4 linked regions of the Schizosaccharomyces pombe genome follow. The gene in region 2 interacts genetically with the main gene of each other region. Each region holds a gene or a part of one and is shown on either strand. Other genes may lie near its edges. The genes, in order: ntp1, spp27, cyb502 and tma22.

What was found.
Region 1: mutations in spp27 (region 2) and ntp1 together harm fitness less than expected from each alone (positive genetic interaction), as found in Schizosaccharomyces pombe (one large-scale study listed by BioGRID).
Region 3: mutations in spp27 (region 2) and cyb502 together harm fitness more than expected from each alone (negative genetic interaction), as found in Schizosaccharomyces pombe (one large-scale study listed by BioGRID).
Region 4: mutations in spp27 (region 2) and tma22 together harm fitness less than expected from each alone (positive genetic interaction), as found in Schizosaccharomyces pombe (one large-scale study listed by BioGRID).

What each region holds. Positions count from the first base shown.
Region 1 is NC_003423.3:204,557-210,182, reverse strand, and holds ntp1 (alpha,alpha-trehalase Ntp1), read right to left. Parts: upstream 3,603-5,626; 5' UTR 3,106-3,602; coding exon 898-3,105; 3' UTR 542-897; downstream 1-541. Other genes in the region: protein Atg38, read right to left, coding at 1-261, 358-381; protein wwm2, read right to left, coding at 4,713-5,534.
Region 2 is NC_003421.2:1,829,983-1,834,734, reverse strand, and holds spp27 (RNA polymerase I upstream activation factor complex subunit Spp27), read right to left. Parts: upstream 2,753-4,752; coding exon 2,560-2,752; exon of another isoform or gene 2,488-2,559; coding exon 2,276-2,487; exon of another isoform or gene 2,143-2,275; coding exon 1,993-2,142; exon of another isoform or gene 1,939-1,992; intron 1,822-1,938; coding exon 1,675-1,821; 3' UTR 566-1,674; downstream 1-565. Other genes in the region: hel2 (ubiquitin-protein ligase E3), read right to left, coding at 26-122; msh6 (DNA mismatch repair protein), read left to right, coding at 3,054-3,647, 3,763-4,752. UniProt on the Schizosaccharomyces pombe protein: Component of the UAF (upstream activation factor) complex which interacts with the upstream element of the RNA polymerase I promoter and forms a stable preinitiation complex. UAF seems to stimulate basal transcription to a fully activated level.
Region 3 is NC_003423.3:2,574,101-2,577,146, forward strand, and holds cyb502 (cytochrome b5), read right to left. Parts: upstream 1,366-3,046; 5' UTR 1,329-1,365; coding exon 1,181-1,328; exon of another isoform or gene 997-1,180; coding exon 843-996; exon of another isoform or gene 795-842; coding exon 722-794; 3' UTR 563-721; downstream 1-562. Other genes in the region: Ragulator-Rag complex subunit Lam1, read left to right, coding at 37-114, 177-387; SPOM_SPBC2G5.01 (Ca(2+) binding protein), read left to right, coding at 2,521-3,046.
Region 4 is NC_003423.3:4,334,075-4,337,033, forward strand, and holds tma22 (mitochondrial translation initiation factor), read left to right. Parts: upstream 1-1,518; 5' UTR 1,519-1,544; coding exon 1,545-1,613; intron 1,614-1,666; coding exon 1,667-2,170; 3' UTR 2,171-2,406; downstream 2,407-2,959. Other genes in the region: protein Dbl6, read left to right, coding at 76-1,128; vacuolar protein sorting receptor vps10, read left to right, coding at 2,938-2,959.

The sequences.
Region 1 (5,626 bases), on a different chromosome or scaffold from region 2:
TGAAGAAGTATACATAGGTGATAATCTCGTAGACATTGACATTGATATTGGTGTTTGTTTGTTTGGCAATGATTCTCGTAACTCGCGTATACGAACCATCAACTCTTCGATTTGGTTATTTGCGCATCTTTTAATAAGAGGCTGAGCTGTGTTCTGACATATCTTTTCAAACTGACTTTTTGCTAATCCATAATACATAATTGCTTGTGAAATTTCTCCCAAAACTTCCTGATTTTCCCCATCTCGGGCGTATTCATGCGCCTAATTTTGTTAACATTCACATTCAAAAGCGAACGATAATTACGAACTTCAAACACTAAATTTACTCATATCCTTATCTCTTTAAGCATCTCTTACCTTTCTTAATGAATATCGAACCATAACACATTTTAATAATATACTGTTGTTGTGTAAGGAAGTGGCCAACTTATGTTGTCTACAAATGTGAACGACATAATACGGTACATTAACTCAAAATAAGTTTCTAGAAGACAATTCCTTCAAAAAAAAAACTAATAAAGTGATAGACACCAAATTAAACATTAGAGTTATATTCGGACTAAAACTGCAACAACAGTACTATCATGGAAATTATAAATTAGAATTGAATCGTAAGGTAAAAAATTCATTTACTACTTCTTTCTTTTAAGTAAAAAAGTAATAATATCGCTGGTGATAAGCTTTACTCATAAATTTAAATAGAATTAACTATTGTTTCGTAAGGGAATATTCGCCAAATAGAACCTTCATAGTAGAAGGATTTAATGGAAGGTATAACATGTAACATAACAATGGGTTTTAACCGGTCGATAACCAAAATAACATAATAAGAGAATAAAGCTAAAGGCAACTAAAAAAGTAGACAAAGTCGATTATTTTTTTCAAGCAAACGATAACTTAATTTTTATGAATGGAAAGGTTTTCGAAAGCAGGAAGAGATTCTTCCTTGATGCCGGCAAAGAAAACATCAGGAGTCGTACAAGCACCAAGAGCCCGACGCATATGCGAATTACAGAATGTAAGGCCGACTTCGTAACTGGCATTAACCCATCCAAAACCTTCGCGAGCAACGCCTTTGATATTGACACCCTGATTACCATACTCAGCTTCAACACGATGTGGATCAACTGGTCTGGTCAAATCATATTTTTCAACAACAATACCATTAAAATCAACAAACGATTTAGTAATAGTATATAGCCAACGATATACAAGTCTACGAGTCTCCTCTTCATATCCGTATCGAATCAATCCATACCAAGCTAAAATCTGCTGAGGGCTCCAGCCATTAGGATAATCCCATTGACGGCTGGGATTATCAAGACCCACTTTACCCAAGCTTCTCTTTGTACCAGCAACTATACCTCCAGCAACTTCAAACTTGGGAAGACTAACATCAACAAATTTTGCGGCTTGACGGGGAGTTGCCACACCGGCCCACAAGGCCCAGAAAGCAGTAGCACTTTCATAAGTACTCTTCGTTTCTAACTTCGTGTTGTAATCATACCACATCGAATCAGCTTCTGACCAAAGATACTTTTCCATTGCAGCACGACGAGCACGAGCACGACGATCCCAAATGGCAGAAGTTTCTATAGTTCCGTTTGGAAGTACAAACTTGTCATCGAAATATTCTAAAATCACATGTGAGATGTCGGTTTCATATTTGTATAGCAACGAGTTCAGATCCACGGTGGCCAAGTCAGCACAAACTTTTTCCAACCGATAAGTAGTATCATGCCCGCTTTCGCGAACTGCGCGGTCGTGCACGAAATACTCATCCAACGCGGGTTCATGAATTTGTTGGTAATTGTATGCATGAGTAAACTCCTCAAGAGTCATATGATACTTCTCCATGTAAGGACGAAGCAAATGCTCAAAATGAGAAGCTTCAGTTTCCGGAGGAATACCGAGTCCTCCAGGGCGATAGCGGGAAAGACCAGTTTTGGGATCCAGTCGTGGAGTGGCAGTCCAAACAGTGTGATATTCTTTTATAGTCGCAGAAAAGGCCCGATGCAAAAAGTCTAAAGATCCTTCTTCGTTTTTTATACGTTCATAAACTCGAAGGGCCATATCGGTCAAAAATGGAGGCTGGGAGCGAAGAAGATAATAAGTGCGGTTGGCATTCAAGATCTTACCGTAATAGGTAATTTCAAAAATAAAATTCTCCACCATACCTTTCGCCAAGTCAACCCGATCGTCAACAAGCAAACCCAGTGATTCAAAGTAAGAGTCCCAGCCGTACAGTTCATTAAACCGGCCACCAGGAACGACAAATGGCACACCTCGAAGATGTGTATTGCCTTCATCATCTTGGTATTTTTCCATTGCAAGTGCAAGTAACCCTGGCTTATCATTTACATCTCTCACCCATTCTGGAGTAATCTCTTCCGGCAGATATTCGACCTGTAAATTCAAGTAAGGCCTTTCCTTAGCAGCGCGAACATAGTATTCATACATCTCTTGTTCGGCTTTAGGAACATAAATTCGATTCACGTGTGATCCTGATCGGTCTTTGGTATCACGGCAAATAACATCCAAAACACTGGCATCGATTCTTCGAGTAAGGGCATCCCAAAAGGTACCTTTGATGAGTCTAGAAAGTCGGTTCACAGGGTTTTCATTAAGTCTTCGCTCATCAAGTAAAATATATCGACGTCCATAATCCTTTGCCAAGGTCAATTCCTGAAGTAAATTTGACAATTGATATGTGCCGCGAAGCTCATACAAGCGATATCCACCCGAGCTAGCGCTGCCAAGGGAAACAACTTTAGGTCCGGTATCCTCGATGGTGATTTGCATGTTCCGGTCGGTGTCTTCAGATTCCAAAAGTGCATTCAATGTCTTATCAACATCAACAAGAAATTTTCGTGGTTGTTTATGTTCATCAAGACTTCCACGTCGACGTAAATTCTTTAATTCTGGTATAGTTGGTGCGGCGGATGCCTCCATCGAAGTGGATAAGGTGCGAGGACGGCCAGCACTTACCCGAGTCGACAAGTCTGTATCCTTGGAGTAATAACTCTTAGCGGTTGCAAAGGGATTGTCATCATCATTTGAAATGGCTTCTGTATCCACGTATTTAGAGGAAAATTTCGAAGGCATATGAAACAAACTTATTCGTGTTAAATATTTTCACTATTAGATCAATGTATATATAAACTTCTTTAAAAATGTATTTTTTTTCTCTTTATTGTTCCTATTCACGAATGATAGCAAATGATGGAGAACAAGGTTATTCCGTTGATGGCTTCCGTTTCCTTCACTACAAGCTAACGATATATCAAAAATTCAAAAGCTCCTACGAGGAATACGCTCACTTTCCAAAGCAATTCACAAGATAAAGTGTTTTTTTTTTTAAAAAAACAAAACAAAACAAATTCCTGCTTTTTCGTTCTAAGCTATAAAATAGCAAGCAAGATTTCAGAAAATCGACACTAATTACGTATAAGGAAAATCCGTGTCTTTAACTGAATTTGAGTAACTCTACCAAATTCTTAGTACCCCAATAGGTATAAATCGTTAAATCCTAAAAAAATTTTAAAAGAACTGCTAGTTTCTTCTATGTATCAGTCTATAATCCTGTCGTTGATATTTGTGGTTTGGAGTTGCTAAGTTCTCATACATTCTAAACCAAATTTACGCTGATGTAGTTCGTTACTCAATGACGTAGTCTACCTGACACCTATAGAGCTTATGGAAGTTTAAGGATGCGGCAATAGGATAGCAGCAACGGTGAACACCATCGCTATAATCAAAACAATGAGCTGAAACATAGAAAGAAGATACGAGAAAATTGGCTAATTAAGATACAACAGTAAAAAAGGTATATACGGACGCCTCTGAAACAGTTATCACTGATTTTAGTGGTACTATTGAGAAGGTAATGAGTTTTGTAAAGAACCACAATATTCCGTATTTTTTAACATTGAGAATGCTCTATTGACTCGTTATATACCACGAGATGAAACCCTATGTATGTGTAGTTTGAATGCGGCACTGTATGTTGTTCTATCGGTTTTTTTTTTAAACTTGCACTCTTCTGGTTTGAAATGATTTGGCTGTTATAATTACAAGTTGCAATTCGGTTAATTAGCGGTACTTACCTCTTCTATGTTAAGATAAACATGTACTTTTAATGAAGAAAGTATACAAATCTGACGAAGTATTGGGATAAAAGACTCTGAACTAACCGATTTACGCAATATTAATAGAAGCTAATCTGACAGCTTTAAATTTCAAATTTCAGATTGTATACAGCCAAAGTATACACGTACGCATTTCGAAGTAGACTGGGTTTGACGTGTGCGAGATAATGAACATAATAGATATTTTTTAGAATCTTTTAATACTTGCGCATAAAATGTTACGTATGAACAAGCATGAATTGTTTCCACAGCTATAGATACAGCACTTATGTTTACCTATATCTAAACTGTTGCATTGAATCATTCCTACATAAACCTAAAAAACAACAACACAGGGATATCAAAATTGCTTGCTTGCGAGCTTTTCTATGTGCACTTCTAAAATTGCCCAGCTCTACTTAATACTTTCAGAAAGTCCTACCTTAATAAAATTCAATTTCACTTTAGCAAAATAACTGAGTATAAACATAAAAAATTTTTTAACGGTATCGACTTAATATCTATTGCGCAATATACTCACATAAAAAGCTCATAAACAAATATTTAGTTCCATGTTTCTCAGTCTCACCAACCAGGACCGCCATGACCTCCAGGACCACCCCCAAAGCCTCCGGGGCCTCCTCCAAAACCTCCAAGACCGCCTCCAAAGCCGCCAGGACCGCCTCCGAAGCCACCAGGACCGCCCTCAAAACCTCCAGGGCCGCCTCCAAAGCCACCGTGACCACCATGATGATGGCCTTCACCTCCAAAGCCTCCAAAGCCTCCAAATCCACCAGGACCAGGAGGAGGACCGCCAGAACCACCACCAAAACCTCCGAAACCACCACCGTTATGACCACGATGGTGAAAGAGATTGCCAAGTGCGTGTGAAGCCAGGCCACCTAAGGCCAATCCACCTAACCCTGCAGCGACAGGAGCAACGTAGCTTGGTCTACTGTAAGAGTTGCCAGTGGTGTAGCCATTAGAAGAGGTAAGCCCACTGAACAGCCCTTTATCACTACCATCTGCATTGGTAGTGGTAGTGGCAGCAGCATTAGGATAGTATGCAGCATTGGTATTGGCAGGGGCATTGGGGTTATATGCAGCGCTGGTAGTAGCGGCAGCATTGGTAGTCGTGGCAGTGTTAGCATTGGCATTTGCAGCAGTATTAGCATTGTATGCAGCATTCGTATTCGCAGCAGAAGTATTGTTATTGTTATTATACACAGCTGTATTAACGCTTGTGGCTCCTGGAGGAGGAGCAAGTTTCAGATTTTCGACTGGTGGTTCCCATTGGGGCTGTGGATTTTGAGCTGACTCGTTAACATAAAAGTATGTTCCATATTCAGCATCCCATTGAGCAACCCATCCACTGGGCAAACCTTCACGAGTTTGATAGACAGACATTTTTTATATGATTAATTCTGTAAAGACACAGAGTAAAAACCTATATAAACGATATAGAGGCTTAGAAAGATTCTAACCAAAGAAAAGAAAAA
Region 2 (4,752 bases):
ATATGTCAACAAGGAAGTTACGTACGATTCCTATTAGTTTTTTTATTATGAGTCCTAGAATTCTTTTTTTCCGATGCTCTGTTGTGCTCCTTATTATTTAAATTGGGGCCCGAAGGCGACATTTTGATTGTTTATAGAAGATTGCGTGTATGGCGCTGGGTAAATAAAATTTCGTAAAGCGAGCTGCTGTATGCTAAAAAAAACAGTTTAGCTGGAGACCTCTGAATTAGCTGGAATATCGCAAACTAAGAATATATTTATAATTTCAACATTATTGGAAAGTTTTTAAGCTTCTGAATTGATTTTTGAAACGTGCATCGAATATTTTGTTAGAAACGTATATAGCATTGAATGTACAGCGGAAGTAAATAGCAATCTCTTATAAAGGGCTTATATAATTTACTAATTTGTTTTGAAAAAAATATTCCCCTAACTTTTTCGCCATAATCTTTTTACTTTGTGCTTAAACAAGAAGTCGTGTATGTATGTAAGCAAGCGTTGTCCTGTCTACAAATAAATGCAATTGTTACAACTGTTAAATGTGGCTTCATCTAAAGTGTGATTGGATCTTTAGAAGTCGTAAACACCATGAAATGATTCAATCAATAATAAGTATATTCATTAAGGACTAATATAAAAGAGAAGAACACTTTCCACTCAGTCTAATCAATTTATAAGTCTTTTGACGGTTATAAGCAGCAATCTTCCAAAAAAAAAACGACCCACAAGCACACAAAAATGTTTATGTAAACATACTCTAACAAACGGATGACAGGTTTGCAACCCCAAAGAAAATCCCAAAATAAAATAATAAACAAATTAAAAAGACAGTACATTATTTGAGACTTAAAAGCATATATCCAGAAAACATCCATTTGCGTATAATTTAATATATACACTATAGACACAAGACGAGTACTAGTCATACAACCAAGCCATATCTTAGATCATCCAAAACTGTAAAGCAAACATCATATTATGGGTTTGTAATACGCAAGGGTAGTAAATAAAATTTATTATTGATGATATGGCTTCGACAGCTCCAAGCGACGGTGGTTTCGTAAACAAAATTCCCCGACAATGGGCTGAAGTGAATCATTTTTTATTTCAATGATATTATAGAGCAAAGCAGCGGTAAAATAATTAAAGGTGCGGTGAAGAAAGTGTTAATACAATACATGAAAATCTCCATCATGCACAACAGTTCATTTAGAAAAGAAAATCAATATGCTATATGAATTTATAAAAAAAAGCACAAAGATATCCATAAGGAATAGGTGATAAGAAATATTCGTAAAATCACAGTCAGTCTAACGTAAATTACCTCTTGTAGCAACCCAAGGTCTAAAGTCAGCAACCTGAACTTTTGTTTTCACACTGCATTTAAGATCAGAAAGTTGTAATGCAAAATACGATATCTGATTATGCGTGGAGACTCTCTAGACATACATAGCCTCTAGTATTAAAGCACGGATATGACATGGACATAGGCAAAATCTGTTGAGGAAAAACAGGTAAGCAAGCGAGTATTGAACGAAATAAACATTTATTGCATGCAATGAAAGCAAAAAACTTGAATGATTTTTGGAGACAAAAAAAAAAGGGATTATTGCAAGATATTATATGAAAAAAAGTTTTGGCTGTTTTATATGGTCATGCAGCAAACACAAAGGCTCAAGCGGTGGATTCGGCGGTAGGAGGCTCGACCAACTCTTTTTCCTCCTGCTTGGGAAGATCGTTCGGAGCCGCTGGTTCTTCATTTTTAGGCTGAGGTTTGGGCAATTGATCATCAGGAATCTTCGTCATGAGATTTGTTAAGTACTATTAATTAAGTTAGCTTAGCTTCGGCAGCAGGTAACAAAGAGCAATGCGGAATGTTTTCCACAAGTAACCAAATGAAAAAAGTAGACAAGGAAAGTTACAATCGACAAAGTAAAAGTTTGTTGACAAACCTCCTTAAAACAATTGTGAACCCATCCATGATTAACTTACCTTGTTCATGGTAAACATATGCAAAGTGTCGACTTCGAAAACGCTTTTCAATTTGTCATCACAAAGAATTGTTCGCTTGTCGTTGGGATCTTGTAAGTCATGTGCTTTTATATACTCCCATAACTTCTTCACAGTTTGGGGACGAGATAACTACGTTAGTTAGCAATCAGCAGAGAAAGCGTGCAAATAAACATTTAGTATGTAAGCCTGCCTCTTTTTTCAAAACAACAAGATTTTGAATGGAACGAGTAGGCACGGCTTCCACACTACAACACCGCCTTACCTGTTCAAGACCCAAAAATTCGGCCAACTTAGGGGACAACTTCATAGGCTTATTCAGAGGATTGTTGGCAGGATCTTGGTTCCTCTTGCGTTTTCCACCCTCTTCTCCATCTTCCTTGCGTTTTCGGGTTCTCTTTGCTGGTTTCTTGCCTTCTTCAGTGCCATTTTCCGTCGCTCTCTTACCCTTGGTTTTGCGAGCGGGTGCTTGTTTTTCTACAAGTTTGGTTAATTATTATTTCTTGCATTATTATTTGCAAATTTCTTCCAGCAATATTCTCATCTTACCTAAACTCTCCTTCTCTGAAGGTGCGGCGGTTTCATCAAAGCATTTCAAAATCAGCGCATTCAAGTCTTTTTTATGCGCACTCAAATCTACCTTTCTTCTTTCTTCTAAAAGTTGACGAACTTGCTTCGCAGATACAGTTTGGCGATCAACTGTACCGAGAATTTGCTTAATGTCTGTTTCGTACTCTTCCATCGTTCTAGTTCTTTATACTACCACCTTACTGTGTTGGTCAAAGTATGGTGTAGTGAGACGGTGGTAGTGGATATAGATTACGGTAAAGAAGGAAAGAGCGCTGGTGTAGCTAAATGCGATTTTGAAAAACACGCTATTTTTACAGATGTAAATACATAAAGCTTCAATTTAATTTCTTGTAAAACTAAAAATAATGGAAATTATATATGTTATTTTGTGCTCTCATGTTAGCTTTGTTTACTATTAGAATGCTGCTTTTTGTAAATAACTGAACTTAGCCAAAACCAACACTTGTTCCAGTATGAGCGTTGGGAACGTTGGCAAGCAAAGGGAGAAAACAAAAGATTCATCAGCTAAAACAAAGCAGAAAACCCTCTTTGGGTTTTTCTCCAAAATCCCGAATGTGAAACAAGAGAAGTCGGATTCTACATTATCTAGTAGTTCGAATCACGACTCTAATCATGATACGCCTGCTGATGTTGACAACAGCTCCAATGTGAACAAAAACTCTTCGTCTCCGGAACGCGAATTGCCAACGAGTCCTTCTCATCATGCGAATACCGAGATAGATTCCAGTTCATCTATGCTTCCTCCTCCATCAAGTGATCCATTTTCCTCACCGCTTTCTAGCAGCCTACACCGATCATCTCCTAAACGCCCTCATGATTCTTTGGGCGAGGAGTCACCAGGTAAATTGCTTCGCACGTCTGTGAAGCAAGAGCCCGACTCTGAAGAAGAAATCGATTCTCCGACGAAAAAGAAAAGTTTTAAAAGTTTGGATACATCAATATTTCAAGCTGAAGATCAATTTCGTCATCCTGTCTCGTCGAAGCTGGAAAATTCGGAATTATCTGAAGTCGACAAGCCTTTTATAGCTTCTCGGCGTTCAAGGAAGGTATGGGTAATTGAGTGATACATATTACTTTAGAAGAATAAAAGGGGAAATACGCACTTTACCCCTATATTAACCAGATTTTTGTTTTAATTAATTATGACTAACAATATGCTAGCCTGTTTCCTACGCTGAAAGTGATGAAGACGAAGACTTCGACGATGCACCTACCAAAGGATCTCGTCATAAAAGAATCGTTTCTGATGACGAATCGGATGACTACGTTGAGCCCGATCATATTTCGGAAGCCTCATCTGAGGCATCCTTGCCTATTGATGAAGTCGAATCTATGGATGAGGATGTTGATGGATATTCAGATCATTCCGTTTCTGTGGCTGCTCCAATTCCCAAAAAGGAATCTCGAAAGGAGAGTTCCAATTCTTTGTATGAAAGTTATCGGCTAGGCTCTCAAATTGCCAGTCCAAGCCCTTCGGTCTCGGGTTCTGCATCTCCCACAAAATCGAATAAAAACGGTGTCCTGAACAGAGAAGAAAAAAGAAGGCAAAGAATGGAGGCATTTAAAAAAGAAAACAACGAACGTTACGAGTGGTTGCTAGATGTTCGAGATGCTGATCAAAATCGAGTGGGTGATCCTAATTATGATCCGCGCACATTGTATATCCCACCTTCAGCTTGGGCAACTTTCAAGCCATTTGAGAAACAATTTTGGAAAATTAAAAAGGACCTTATGGATACAGTTGTTTTTTTTCAGAAGGGAAAATTTTATGAGTTATATGAGAATGATGCCGCTATCGGACATCAGGTATTTTCCTTAAAGTTAACTGATAGAGTTAATATGAAGATGGTTGGAATTCCTGAAGCAAGTTTTGATTACTGGGCATCTCAATTCATTGCAAAGGGGTATCGTATAGCTCGAGTCGACCAATTGGAAACCGCTTTAGGTAAAGAAATAAAAGATCGTCAACGAACTCAGAAGGAAGAAAAAGTAGTTCAGCGAGGCCTTACCCAAGTCTTAACGAGCGGGACCCTTGTTGACGAGGCAATGCTGACTTCTGACTTGTCAACATATTGTATGGCTATTAAAGAAAGTCTTCAATCTGACAACGAAGAGCCTTCTTTTGGTATCTGCTTCATTGATACCTCGACT
Region 3 (3,046 bases), on a different chromosome or scaffold from region 2:
GCCTTTGGTATCTGTTTCTTTGTTAACTGAAAATAGAAATAAATTCATTGACGTCTTTTCTTTACGATTGAGAACCGAAGCACCTCAGCGAGACCCTCGGGACAACATTTATGAGTAAGCTTTTGATAAATTCTTTTTATACAGTAGAAACTATATTAACATAATGATTGCGATAGGGAGGTATTAGATCAAATCGACTCATTGAATTTAGATCCAAAATACGATGTTGCTAAACCTACCGAGCAGGAAACCGAGTTTATAATAAGGAAACTAGGTGTTTTGATTGATGATATTAACAACATTAAGCTGAGTGATAAAGAAATCAAAGGAAAGATGGTAATCAATTTATCTAAAGTCCAACCGAATATTACTGGAAGTCCTTCATAAGCCCAATAGAACTAATTTTTCCATTAGTTATATTCCACTTCTGATTACATACTTCCCTCTTTACTATTAGCTAAATCTTTTTGTTATACTTTTTTGGTTTGTTTAATATCTCCATGAGTTAATTACATGTTACGAGCTGAACTCATTGTTTTTAAGAGCTCTCTTACTGAAGGAAGACATTTAAGAAATATATTTTTCTAAGTTAACGTTTATTTTGTTTCTTTAGAAGCCTTGAAAACAATTGCTATCCATAATAATATTGAGTGATACTAACATCGCGAAAAACAAAAGAAGGTATAAAGATTAGGAAAATAAATAGGCAAGCCTTCGAAGTTTATTTGTTAAGCTTAACAAACACAATTACTGCTATGGCTGGCAGGACAATTAATGCGATTAATAGAGGCAATCTGTTCTGTTAGCATGAAACAACCATCGTACACAAATCATTTTCTTACGGAGGCGTATCATTATCAAATGAACGAGGTTTCTTTAATTCTTTGAGTCTCTCCTCAGTTCCGGGTTTTAAATCACCAATATACATCTCTTCTAGTAACTCATCTGCAGCAATAGAGTGTCCAATGTCCTGATAGGCCTTAGTGGCGTCCTGGCCTAAAACAAATAGTTAGTGGACATGTTTAAAAAGCCGTATACAATGTTTTAATCAAGAAGGCACACAAGTGAAGAACTGATGAATGAAACGATAGCGATTAAAAGTATACTATCGCTTTTGAGCATAGCAGTCTCCAACATAATATGGTGTTTACTTCTACAAAAGTTTTGTCGAATTATTTACCTGCATAGTCCAACATTATATCTAAGCCTCCAGGATGATCATCAGCAAAGTTACTAACGTCGTAAACTTTTCCATTAATGACCATGTACATGTCTTTGGAATTATTGTGCTCCACAATCTCCTCAGGTTCAAAGTATTTCACCGACATCTTGATAAATAAATCTATATAATAAAAATCGTGTGTTGAGGGGAGTTGGAAAAAGTTTGCGAAAGTTTTGATATCGCTAGTAGAGAAAATCTCACGTTAGGGTATCGTGTGGTAGTAGTAAATAATCGAACAAACGAGCTCAAGGAATTTATTTAGCAGCCAATGATAGGCAAAGCGGCATGTACAAAATTCTGCCAGATTTTCTGCTTAACCAAAAAGTGGATAGGAATAATATTTTTTTACCAATAAACAATTATTGTTGAGGTATGGAGGATTTCTCATTTATATCTTTTTATCTATAATGATCTAATAACGATAGATCTCAATATCCCTCGCAACTTTGATACAAGCTTAATTTAGCTAGCGTTAAGCTTATGACATTCTTCAGTAACGGTATGTTACATGTTTGAAAAAAAAAATATGTCCTAGGTATAAAGTACAACAGGGTGACTAGCTTCCTTTTATTTGCTTTGTTGAGATTAACCGATCGTATACGTAAACAAGCAAGTACAAAATGACTTTCTTTTATATAGAACGCATGAATGTAACTAAGATTTTGAGTAAATGCGTAGCAGTTCGTACAACTATCATTTACCAAATAGATAAACTACTACCTTTGAAAATTGTAACGCCATATAGTTTCTCTGTCGGATATATTCAGTTGAAAGCACCATTCATTGCTAATAAAACACCAATAATTACAGAACCGATCTAGTAATATACATTTAGACCAACTGAGCTTCTATGCTTGTTTGTCTTTGCAGACTGTTTTTGTAACTTTTGCAATAACAAGCTGAAGTGCCAGTACAATATTCTTGAGCATCCGTTAGCTATCTAATTTTGCTTCACATATAGCAACTAGAAAAATAAAAATAAGTAAAAAGAAAAAACCTCAAAATTATGTTGGATATAACTAGTACAAAGTGTTTTCTCCACGTCAAAAAAAGTGTCACGAACCGGGATCGAACCGATGACCAACAGATCTTCAGTCTGTCATGCTCCCAACTACACCATCGCGACATGTTCTGGTTACCGACTTATTTTAAACTATCTATATACACTAGTTAATCTTCCCACTCTAGGAACCGGCTTGTCTCGTTCGTTACTTATTTCACCACGTTCAATCTCACTTCGTACAACCAGTGCCCTTTTTTCTTTCACGAAAGTCAGTAAATTTACAAGCGGAGGAACCATGATTAATAAAAAGCTTTTGTTTCTAGTTTTTGCACTAGCTAAAGGAGTACTGGCTGATGAGGAAGATGAATACGAAGAGGATTACAATATGAATCCCGAGTTGGAGAATCCAGGAATGTTCAAGCATGTCGATTGGAGAGATTTCCGTCTTGAATTTGTTATTCTTGCTTGTTTTTTCCTTTATGTTTTTTCTTTTATCACGCAAAAGAAGAAAAACCAAAAAATCGCTTCTCGCTGGTATGGTTCCTTACAGTCTAGCTTTCGCCAACAGTTTGCACAATATGGACCAGGTCCTAACAGTTCTCCAATCATTTATGACTCTCCTACCGAGTTTAGCTCCTATCTTACTGGACGTCTCAACGTGAAGAATGTGTATACAACACTTCAGCTTTTTCCTCGTCAAGATTTGTTAGCCTACTCTCTTAATCAAATCGTTGAAATCCTCCTGGGAAACGTTATGTCTTCTGTTTTACCTGTTGCTGACCGTTTTCAATTCGATTTAACTCTTGCAGACCAGAACTTGA
Region 4 (2,959 bases), on a different chromosome or scaffold from region 2:
AGAATGATTATTTAATATAGGGCCTTTATATTATTTTTAAGTCTTTGTGGTATTTTGTAGGGATATACTGTCGAAATGGATTCATTTCATCCAACACCTGGAAAACCGACCACAGCAACATCAAATTCAAGTCTGAACTTTTTTGTAAGAAACAGAGAGAAAAGTATTAGGTGCTCAAGCTTGCATCAAACTTTTACAGCCCCTTCTCCTGAAGCTTCACCGTCAATCGGATTAAGATATGTAAATTACTCAATGAGCGACGAAACTGATGAATCTATGTTTCCACTTGATTCAGAACTGACCGATATGGAAGATGATGATACCGAGTACATATCAGACTCTACAACAGACTTGCCGTCCGCTGCCATGGCTAGAGGAACTAGGCAGTTGAGTTACAATGAAAATTTGGATCAGCGTTCGTTTTCTAAGACTCCAAATAAACATATTGAAGTAAAAAATTTAAAGGACCTTTGTAGTCCCTCTCATTCTGGAAGAATTTCGAAATCTTTGTGTCCTGTGTTACGAAGAAAGTCTTTGCTTCCCAAACCGAAAATGTTCCAACGCGTAGCCAGTGCCTTGTATGAAGAATCATCTCCTCTGGAGTTGGAAATCCGTAGTGAATCGGAATTTTCCAAGATGTTTTTCGAGCCTAAAAAATCATCATCCTTTGTTTCTAGAGCTGCTTCGCCTGCAATGGTAGGTCCGGGTGTACCGTTTTACAGTTCTATAACAGGTGCAAATGGTAATGTTCTCGCACCATCAGGATCTTTGAAAGCTGTTGAGAACTCTGATGTAATTGAGTCATCTGCAGAGGACAGTAGTAATACGGACAATCCATCTACTAAGCCTTCGAATGAGATGCCCATATCTCCTCTGCTTTCCAGTTCTGTATTTTTTAAGGATACAGAAATGTCAACTCCGAATAGCAATCACTCCAGATCCCGTACCCCATCCTCGAAAAAGCGAACTCGATGGGGCGAAGAAATAATCGACTTATCGAAGAGAAGAGCTGTATCTCCTTCCATTTATTATGATTTGGATAAGAAATGCTCTCCTATTCATTCTGTTATGGTCAGCCCCTTGAAGATTAAGGATACTCACGAAGTCTTGATGAATTTAAAGTTATGAACTAGCTCACGCTGCGAAGTGTGTATTTATTTGTACAATAATTGAATAATTAATTTCCTATCTTTTTACGCAACTTATTTTGTAGTAGCTTTTTATCATGTTGAATCTAGTTTACAATGTTACAGCGCCGTTATTTTTATTACTCTTTATAAAGAACAGCTTGTTATCATATCATTGTTTTGATATGTAAACAAAAGTCCTAAAAATCCGTTTACGGTTTCAGCAGCATAACATTATATTCTAAAATTTAAAACGACTTGAGATGTGAATTACTTTTTATTTAACGAATAACTTACAGCTTTTAAGCATATTTTACTCTCATAGTATATTTAGGCTTCGCCTCTTTGAATCTCGCTTTCTATTTTCGTTCCCCCAGGTAGTCTCTACTTTAACCTATACTGCAAGAAACTCAAATAATGGCTTCACAAACCATCCCGAAGTTAAAATCAGTATTATACTGCGATGTTTGTACATTGCCCGTGGAAGTACGTAATAAACAACTTGTTTTATAATTATATTAACTATGAATGCGTTGTAGTACTGCGAATTTGAGGGCACTTTAAAAAAATGTAAAGAATGGCTTAAATCATCTCACCCGGACGTTTATGATAAATTGTACGGTGAGCAAGACTTAAGCAAAGACCTTGAAAACACTCTGAATGTTAGCGGAACTAAAGATTCTAATGCAGAAGAACAACCGGCAAAATTGACGAAGGAGGAAAAGCGCGTTGAGCGTGAAGAAGCCAAACGTATGGCATCCAAGGTTTTGATAAAAACCATTGAAAGAACTAAAAGAAAGAGAGTCACCACAGTTCAAGGTCTTGACGCATTTGGGATCGAAACGAAAAAAGCTGCTAAGATGTTGGCCAACAAGTTCGCGACCGGAGCCAGTGTCACTAAAACAGCTGATAAGAAGGATGAAATTGTTGTACAGGGTGATTTGAATTATGATATATTTGATTTTATTTTGGAAAAGTTTAAAGAGGTTCCGGAAGACAATATTAAAATTGTCGAAGATACGAAATCTAAGAAGAAGCAGTAATCTTAATTTTTATTTTTTAAAAATACTACTAAGTATGCTATTTTTGGGGCTATTTTATCATAAACTGTCTTGTACAATCTTGTACAACCTAATTTTCTGTTAAATGGTTGCACAGTTAGGATACCGGTTTTTAATAATTTATTGAGACTCATGTTTTTTAATGTTTCTATATAAAAAATGCCTAATTATCAATATTTTACAATTTATTGCCTGTTGTATTAGTATGATGATTTGAAGTCACCATTTGTTTACTTACATTTCATTGCCAAGGCTATAGAGTAGTATTAGCATTCGTTGTGTATGCCATGAATTTCTTAGCAGTTAAAAATTGAAATTGTGTTTCTTTACGCCTTTTTGGACGTTATCAGCATACAAAATAAGGCAGCTTAGTAGTTCATTAAGAAAATGTTGTCTTGAATGTAGGAATAAATTATATTTTGACAAAGTAATCGATTCTACAAAGAATGCTGTGATCATTGTCACCTTTTTAAATTTGATAAAATTGATTTACTATGCAAATAGTTGTAGCTTCATTATTAACTAAGAAGAACCGTGATAATAACATTACTCAGTAGCTAGTTCTTCAGTGTACTTAACTTTCAGGGGACAGGATTTTAATATCGATACAAACACTTAAGAGATCCGAATGCGTATTTCGTTATTGAAGTTTTTGAGTCATTTGCGTTGAGGCGCATTAAGCAATGCTGATGGGGAAGTTGACGATTTCACCATTCGAACATTGCCAAAAGCAACGAAGTTGAGGAATTATGTTTTTTTTGACAAAGATCC